Canis lupus familiaris: one gene and its partner. The protein of the gene in region 1 purifies or fractionates together with the protein of each later gene. This does not show direct contact. Links are inferred from orthologs where the notes say so. Each region holds a gene or a part of one and is shown in the gene's direction. Other genes may lie near its edges. The genes, in order: NFX1 and LARP1.

The links.
Region 2: the proteins of NFX1 (region 1) and LARP1 purify together in Homo sapiens (affinity purification with mass spectrometry, with the first as the bait; 3 studies listed by BioGRID). This does not show direct contact. The link is inferred for Canis lupus familiaris from reciprocal best matches to the Homo sapiens genes NFX1 and LARP1.

The regions. Positions count from the first base shown.
Region 1 is NC_049232.1:50,683,436-50,687,241, forward strand, and holds part of NFX1 (transcriptional repressor NF-X1), read left to right. Parts: intron 1-551; exon of another isoform or gene 552-598; coding exon 599-829; intron 830-1,691; coding exon 1,692-1,765; intron 1,766-2,962; coding exon 2,963-3,064; intron 3,065-3,791; coding exon 3,792-3,806. UniProt on the Homo sapiens protein: Binds to the X-box motif of MHC class II genes and represses their expression. May play an important role in regulating the duration of an inflammatory response by limiting the period in which MHC class II molecules are induced by interferon-gamma.
Region 2 is NC_049225.1:55,910,234-55,914,139, reverse strand, and holds the start of LARP1 (la-related protein 1), read left to right. Parts: upstream 1-983; 5' UTR 984-998; coding exon 999-1,437; intron 1,438-1,884; exon of another isoform or gene 1,885-1,894; coding exon of another isoform or gene 1,895-1,958; intron 1,959-3,906. UniProt on the Homo sapiens protein: RNA-binding protein that regulates the translation of specific target mRNA species downstream of the mTORC1 complex, in function of growth signals and nutrient availability.

The DNA.
Region 1 (3,806 bases):
GGAGTAAAGGATCCTGGAAGAAGAAGGTGATATAAAAAAAAAAAAAAATGAGTTTGGGATTTTGTGGCCTGTTGCCTCTTAATTTTTTAAGTGACAGAACTGCTTAAAGCTATGGAGACCATGAGTTGAAAGATGTGAGGAGAATTGAATATTTAATTGTTTATGTAAAAGAGCCCTGCCAGCAGTCTTGAAACCATGGGTCAAGGGTATCCCCAACCCTCTGAGTTCATGTGTCAACTCAGTGCCCTAGCTATTTGTAAAGGAAAGTGGTGGGGAGATCATCTGATCCCCTCAGTTGGTCTCCTAGCATTTTCAAATATTCCCTAGTTACCTGGTTTCATGTGCTTGTTACCCACCCTGGAAGTGTATGTTTTAAGTCACACTTGGTTGCTAGCACAAATTCTTTTGGATCATAACAAATATCATTAAATAAGGTTCAGATTTGTTTATTTTCAAGCTAACCTTTCAGATTTTGAAGATCAGCCTAATTTTTTTCAGATAATAATAACTTTGAAAATTTAGAAATGTTTAAATAGGAAATTAAAACTCACCCAGATACCACATGGAGATAAGAATCTGGCTACTCTGTCTCTCCTAGTTACGAAGCAACATCCCCTGTCACCTGGCTGATATCTCTTGCGGATTACCCTGCAGTGCCACGCTACCATGTGGGATGCACAAGTGTCAGAGACTCTGTCACAAAGGAGAGTGTCTTGTGGATGAGCCCTGCAAGCAGCCCTGTACTACCCCCAGAGCTGACTGTGGCCACCCGTGTATGGCGCCCTGCCACCCCAGCTCACCCTGCCCCATGACTGCTTGTAAAGCCAAGGTGCGTATTCCTGGCTCTAGATAGGGCATTGATTATGGTTCTGGGACTTCTCATGAGTCTAGAACTACCTGCAGAGGTGCCTGGACACACATTCTAATCAGAGGTAATTGGTTGCAAGGAAGTAAGTTAAGTTAGCAAGAGAAAAGCGGAGTAAGTAGATTTCTGTCTGCCCAACTTGATATGGCCTTTTAGTTCAGAAGGTACCCCCCAGTGCCACCTGACCACAGTCACTGCCTCTCTCCCTTAGAGTAAATTCTCAAGAGAGACTCTGGCCACTCCATTTATTCAACAAATTTTAAGTGTTTTGTGCAATATGTTTTGCTAGGTCCTGGGGCCATACCAGTGAACAGGAGACACACATGTCCCTTCAGTTAGTGGGACACATACTGACTGCCTACTCAGATAATGAATTATGACTGTGGTGAATGAGAAGTTATACCTTATAGAGGGTGCTTTGAGAGTTTGTGTGTAGGGAGACTTAGCCTGGTCTGAGGGATCTAAGCAAGGCCTCCCTGAAGAGATGAAAGCAAATGAAAGAGGCGGACTTGGTTAGATTAGACTTTGGATGGTCTTGGCCCAGGCTCAGTGGTAAAGCTTCATTCTAAGCCTGCCCCTTCAGGTAGAGTTAAGGATAGGAGTAGTTCCCAGAAAGGGTCATTGTAGAGTGAACAGTTCCTCCTAGCATGTCAACTACCACATTGTTGTTTTGTGTATATGGTTAGCTTCCCCCATCCTGAAGGGTAGCCACTCAATGTCTGTATCCTCTGCCATGGTTTGATTTGGGAGAGGCTTTAAAAGTGAAACCTGCCTATTTGCATGGTTTCCATGCTGTAAAAGTTGGTCCATGTTAATCTTATTTCAGATAGAGCTGCAGTGTGAATGTGGACGAAGAAAGGAGATGATGATTTGCTCTGAAGCATCCAGTACTTATCAAAGGTTAGTGCTACTTCATTGTTAACAGTGGTGGGTCTCAGTATACAGAGGGGACACCTGTTTACTGTCAAATCCTTGCAATTTTTGTCAACTTTGGAAGGTTTTTTCCTTTTTTTACAAAGAGCTTGTGTGTAAGCCAGTGGGAGTGGGGAAGAAAGAGAAAGAATCTTAAACAGACTCCCCAATGAGTGCAGAGCCTGATGGGCCCTGAGATCACGACCTGAGCTGAAACCAAGAGTCAGATGCTTAACCAACTGAGCCACCCAGGCACACCTGGAAAGTTGTTTTAAATAAATTTTCCAAATAAATAAATAAATAAATAAATAAATAAATAAATAAATAAATAAATAAATAAATAAATAAATAATTACATCACATCACATCACATCACATCACATCACATCACCACATCACATCACCACATCACATCACATCACATCACATCACATCACATCACCACATCACATCACCACATCACATCACATCACATCACATCACATCACATCACATTTTTTCCTGAATCTAGTTTTTCTGGTTCAAAGAAAAAGTATTGCTTTGTGTCCCTTTCTTTCCCTAACTTTCATTTGTTAAAATAATCTTTTTATTTTTTTTTCCTCTTCCCCTCTCTCCCATCTGGTCTTACTACACCATGAGATCAAAAGGGATGATGTCCTGAAGTTGCATGAACTGCTTTAACGTCCCGTCACTTGGGGTGATCCAGTCAGGACCAAGTCCTGTGCTCTTCCTCTGCAGTAGGGGTTTTTGACTATTCTGTGAATTATCTTTTCAGCCTCCTGAAATCCTGGGGCCAGGTGGTCAGAAAGGGATCTCAGTAAGGAGGCAAAGGTGTTAGGGATGGATGGTTGTGTGTGTCTCTAATCAGACACATGTAATCATATGCAGATATGTGTCATGGAGATAGGAATTTTGGAGTATGAAGACATCAGAGTGGCTTTGACATCAATGGGTTTGAATACTGGATATTCAAGGAGATTGAATAGACTATTCATTGTTTCTGATGGAACTGCTTAGAATCTAATTGAGGAAATATGACATAAATGTGTGGATAGTTCATAATAGATGGGTTTCTGAGGCCACATGAATTGTCCAGTAACTTGAAAGAAGTCTTCTGTGTCCTAATATTAGGACATTTCTGTGAAACTACAGTACCTTTTTTTCCCTTTCTTTTTTATACTTCAGAATAGCTGCTATTTCCATGGCCTCTAAAATAACAGACATGCAGCTTGGAGATTCAGTGGAAATCAGCAAGTTAATTACTAAGAAAGAAATTCACCAAGCCAGGTAATTTTTAAAATGTATGTCTTCTGTTAGAATTAATTTCCAGAGGGCAGGAACCATTCATTTATCTCAATCTCCCACAGTGAAGCCTTGCACACATGGTAGGTGTTTGAACAGACATTTGATGTTATGAGACCATACACAGGACACCTGGATGGCCTAGTGGTTGAGCCTCTGCCTTTGGCTTAGGGCATGATCCTGGAGTCCTAGGATCAAGTCCCTGCATGGAGCCTGCTTCTTCCTCTGCCTATGTCTCTGCCTATGTCTCTGCCTCTGTGTGTGTGTGTGTGTGTGTGTGTGTGTGTGTGTGTGTGTTTCTCATGAATAAATAAATAAAATCTTTAAAAAATAAATAAGAGACCACACTCCAATCCATTGAATCTTGCTCAGGATATAGCTACGACCAGAGGAGACTTTTCTAGGCCTTTCTTAAAATAGCCAGAGGAAGCAGAGACCTAGATATATCCAGCCCAACTCACAGAACAGAGAACCAGCTATGTCAACAGAGGGATGTGGGGCTGTCAGAGAGTCATTGGGAGCATTTTGGAGACACTTTGAGGCCCTTCTGAGGAACCCTAGATTCCTATAACCCAGAAGCTCACCCACCTGTCCTTGAGAGGGACCTCATGCAGCTGTGTTTTAGAGAGTCTGCTCTGTTTCCAGGTTTTATTGCTGGGTAGGAGCTGTGAAATTTGTGCCCTGACTTTATTTTTTTCATTTGTTTCTCAAGGCTGGAGTGTGATGA
Region 2 (3,906 bases), on another chromosome or scaffold:
CCAGGCGGGGCCCCGGAGGGGCCAGGCCCGCGGAGCGCCGGGGAGCCGGCAGCGTCGGCGCGTCCTCGAGGTGGATAGGGACCCCTCTCCTTCGCCCTGTAAGTCAGGGGTGACGTTAATGGCTCCGACTCCCGAGTCGGGCGCAGCCAGCCTGGAGAGCGCGAGCAGGCCCGCTCGGCCGCGTGGCCCGTTCCCATGTGCTCCACCTGCGGGCGCTCCGACGCGCGGGCCCTTTAAGACACCTCCCCCCTTCCCCCACCCCGCTCTGCGCCCGCCCCCCCGTCGCCCTCCCTCCCGAATTGCATCAGGCACGTGCTCGCCCCCGTCCGGCCGGAGCACCCCTCACCCCCCAGCCCGGGAGGCGCTCCGAGGCCTCGGAGGCGAGGGGCGGGGCGGGGCGGGGGGCGGGGGCGGGGCCGCGGGGCCGTGCGCGCGCGCTCCCGCCGCCTCCGCCCGCCCGCCGCCCGCCCGCCGCCCGCCGCCCGCCGCCCGCCGCCCAGGGCCGGCCTCGGCGGGCGCGCCCCCGCCGCGCCGTCCCCTCCCCTCGCCCGCCGCGTCGCGAGGCGCGCGCCCGCCCGCCGCCTGCCGCGGATCGCGTGGTCGCCTCGGCTCGCCGCGCCTCTCCCCCGTCCGTCCATATTGCTGCAGCCCCCGAGCCGGGAAGCCCGGGCCGCCCCGGCGGCGGGGGGGAGGGAGGGACGGGACGAGAAGCCTGCCGGGCTCGGGGTGGGGGCGCCTAGCGAGGAACGGGCGGGGGGGGCCGCGCGCCGAGGAGGCCTGGACCGCAGAGTGGGGGGCCTTCCTCCCCCCCCCGCCCGCCAGCGGGCCTCGGACCTACGGCGGCTGCCTCCGACCGCGAGGGGAGCCGCGCCTAGCGGGAGCCCCGGCCCTTCTCCGCAGGGACTGGGGCCCGGCGGCCCGGAGGAAGGCGTCGCGGGTGCCCTGAGAGCCAAGTTCGCGGCGGGGGAGGCGGCTTCTCCGGGGGGGCGGGCGCGCAGATGGCCACTCAGGTGGAGCCGCTGCTGCCGGGGGGCGCCCCGCTCTTGCAGGCCGAAGAGCACGGGGGTCTGGTGAGGAAGAAGCCGCCGCCGCCGCCGCCTGCCGAGGGCAAGGGCGAGCCCGGGGCGAACGACGTCGGAGGGGGGGAGCCGGACGGCGGCGCCCGGAGACCGCGGCCGCTCTGCGCCAAGCCGCACAAGGAGGGCACCGGGCCGCCGGAGCGCGAGAGCCCGCGGCCGCCGCCGCCGCCGCCGCCGCCCGGCGCCGAGGGCCTGGCGGTCAGCGACGGGGAGGAGGGCGGCGGCGAGCCGGGCGCCGGCGGAGCGGCGGCCGCCGGGCGCCGGGACTTCGTGGAGGCGCCTCCGCCCAAGGTGAACCCGTGGACTAAGAACGCGCTGCCGCCGGCGCTGGCCGCGGTGAACGGACAGTCCCCTCCAGGTGGGTCCGCCTGCTCGCCGCCCGGGCCGGGACCTCTTCCGGGGAGGAGGGCGTCCCCTCCCCCAGCGGCCTTGAGGGCCCGGGGGTCCGCCGCCGGCCGTCGTGACTCGGGCCTTTTTCTCTCCTTCCTTTTTCATTGCCTCCCGTTTAAACTGGGCCGCCGCGCCCCGTCCCCCGGCTCGCTCGGGAAGCCGCCCCGCCGGGGCCCGGCCTCCGGGAGCCCGCGGCCAGCGCCCGGGCCTCGGCGGCCGGCGGGCAACGGCGCGGCGCGGGCCTACCCGGCCGGGGGACGGCGGGCGCGGGCGGCAGTGCGGGCCCCCCGGCCCGGCGAGTGGGTGTCGGGGACGGTGCCCGGCCGGACCCTCCCCGGGAAGCCCCCCTTCCCGCCCGCCCCGCCCCGCGCTCGCGTCCCGGGAGCGCCGCGATCGGCCCCATGTTGTGAATGTTTGAGGAGCATATGTCAGGGGCGGCGGAGCTCCGGCGAGGCGTTCGCACCGGCCGCACGGATTCGGGCTCGGAAAGTTAGCAAGTTTTGTTGTGTGGTGGCTGGTGGTAGGCGGTAGGATCGCCTTGGGCGGCGGGTCGAGGGGTCGGGGACGGGGACGGGGACGAGGAGAGGAAACCCAACGTGTCACTGGGTTCGGTGGTTTCCCTTCCCGGCCCCGGGGACCTTCCGCCTCGAGCGGGGGCCGGGCGGCGGGCGTGCGGGGGACCCGCTCGGGGGGAGGCGGAAAATGGGCGGCGAGGCCGGGGGCACGCGGCGCGCCGAGGGGCGTGCGGCGGCGGGGGAGGGAGTGGCCGCGCCGGGCGGGCGGGTGACAGTTGGGCGCCATGCGCCGCGCCGCCGGCCCGCGGGCTGCTCGCGGCCGCTGGGCCTGTGCGTTCGGGGTGGAAGGCGGGTGCGGGCGGCGGCGGCGGCGGCGGCGCGGGGGTGCGTGTGCGCGGGGGCCGCGGGGGTGCGTGTGCGCGGGGGCCGCGGGGGTGCGTGTGCGCGGGGGCCGCGGGGGTGCGTGTGCGCGGCCCCCCTTCCCGGCATTCCTCCGCAGCCGGGACAGCGTGGTGCCTCCCCGCGCGGGCAGCGGCATGTGACCGCCGCCGCGCTGCCCGCGCCCTGCCTCTGCGGCTCGCGGCTTCGGCCCTGCGGCCCCGGGCCCTCGGAGATCGCCGCGGAGCCGTGTCAGCGCGGGGGCGGGCGGGGGAAGGCGGTGCGGAACCCGGAGGCCGGCCGGGCCTCGGTGGCCGGCTTGGGCGGGGGGCGCGCTCGGCTTCCCTTTGGAAGTGGATCCGGAGCGAAACCGGCCTGTGGCTACAGCGGGGGGCCTGCGGGGCTGAACTCCTCCCCTTCTGCAGCCGCTGGCCGAGGGGGACTGGTGGAGGTTGAAGAGGGAGCTGATTAAGGCCTTCGCATTCGAGGTGGGGATTAGAATCTTCTCGTAGTCCTAGGGAAACCAGAACAGCCAATTCTGAAAATAGCATGTTGCAATTTTTATTTCTTTGAAGGTTGCTTCATTTGGAGGAGGGGACATTGACGTTTACTAATGATACCTCAGACCGTGTTCTCTCTTCCTTCTGCCCTCTCCCCTTCCCCCCTTTGCCTTCCAGAACCCTCTTATGCAAAGGGCAGTGCCGAAACCTCCATTTTCTTGCGTATCCCTCCTGATCCACCCACAGAGGGAGGGAAATCAACTTTAAAACACTCTTTGGTCCTTCCCCCGTCTTTAAACTCAAAGGGGTATAATCATCCCCAGGAGAGAGCACTCCTCAGAAGTTTAAATGGGGCTACTCACCCTGGCTGCTGCTGCTGCTTAGCTAATGGTGAACCTGCCTTGTGGGTTTTAAATCAGCCGTGACATCAGGAGGTATTGGGTGCCTGAGCTGGCATTTTGTGCAAGTGCAGTGCACCCTTGATAGGGTGCGTCACTGGGGTTATTGATCGTGGGAAGAAGACAGCTTGGCTGGCATCTCGCCTTTCCCTGGAGTGGAGAAGCCAACTTGCTTTAAGTGCCCAAAGCAAAATTCTGAGCCTAGTAGTTTTGCTCTGTTTTTGTTTTTCAGGAGTCTTAAGGCAAGAAAGCGTCTAGTCTGCTCGTTGGTTTTTGAACCTTTGGACTAGTCTTTGACAGACTTAACTCTCAATTAATCCGGTAGCTGCTTTGCTTAAGCCTGTTATTAGGGCCTGGATGCTTTTTGAGGGAGAATTTTGTGATTGAACTCTCTGTCTGGTAAGGTTAGTTGGTGGCCCTTTCTTTGGAGAGTCTACATCGACTGCTAAGGCAGTTTTTCAAGTCCTGATTTTATTTGCAACTTAGACAAGTTTAAATGTGACACCAATGGAGTGGCAGTGTGGTCTTGGGAATTTTTGTGTTCTGTGATGCATATGTTTTTGGGAGTCCACAGAAATGAGTGCCTCATAAGCAAGCTAAAAGCTTTCCAGAGCTTGCTGCAAATGCCTATTTTTAGCCCTCCTTT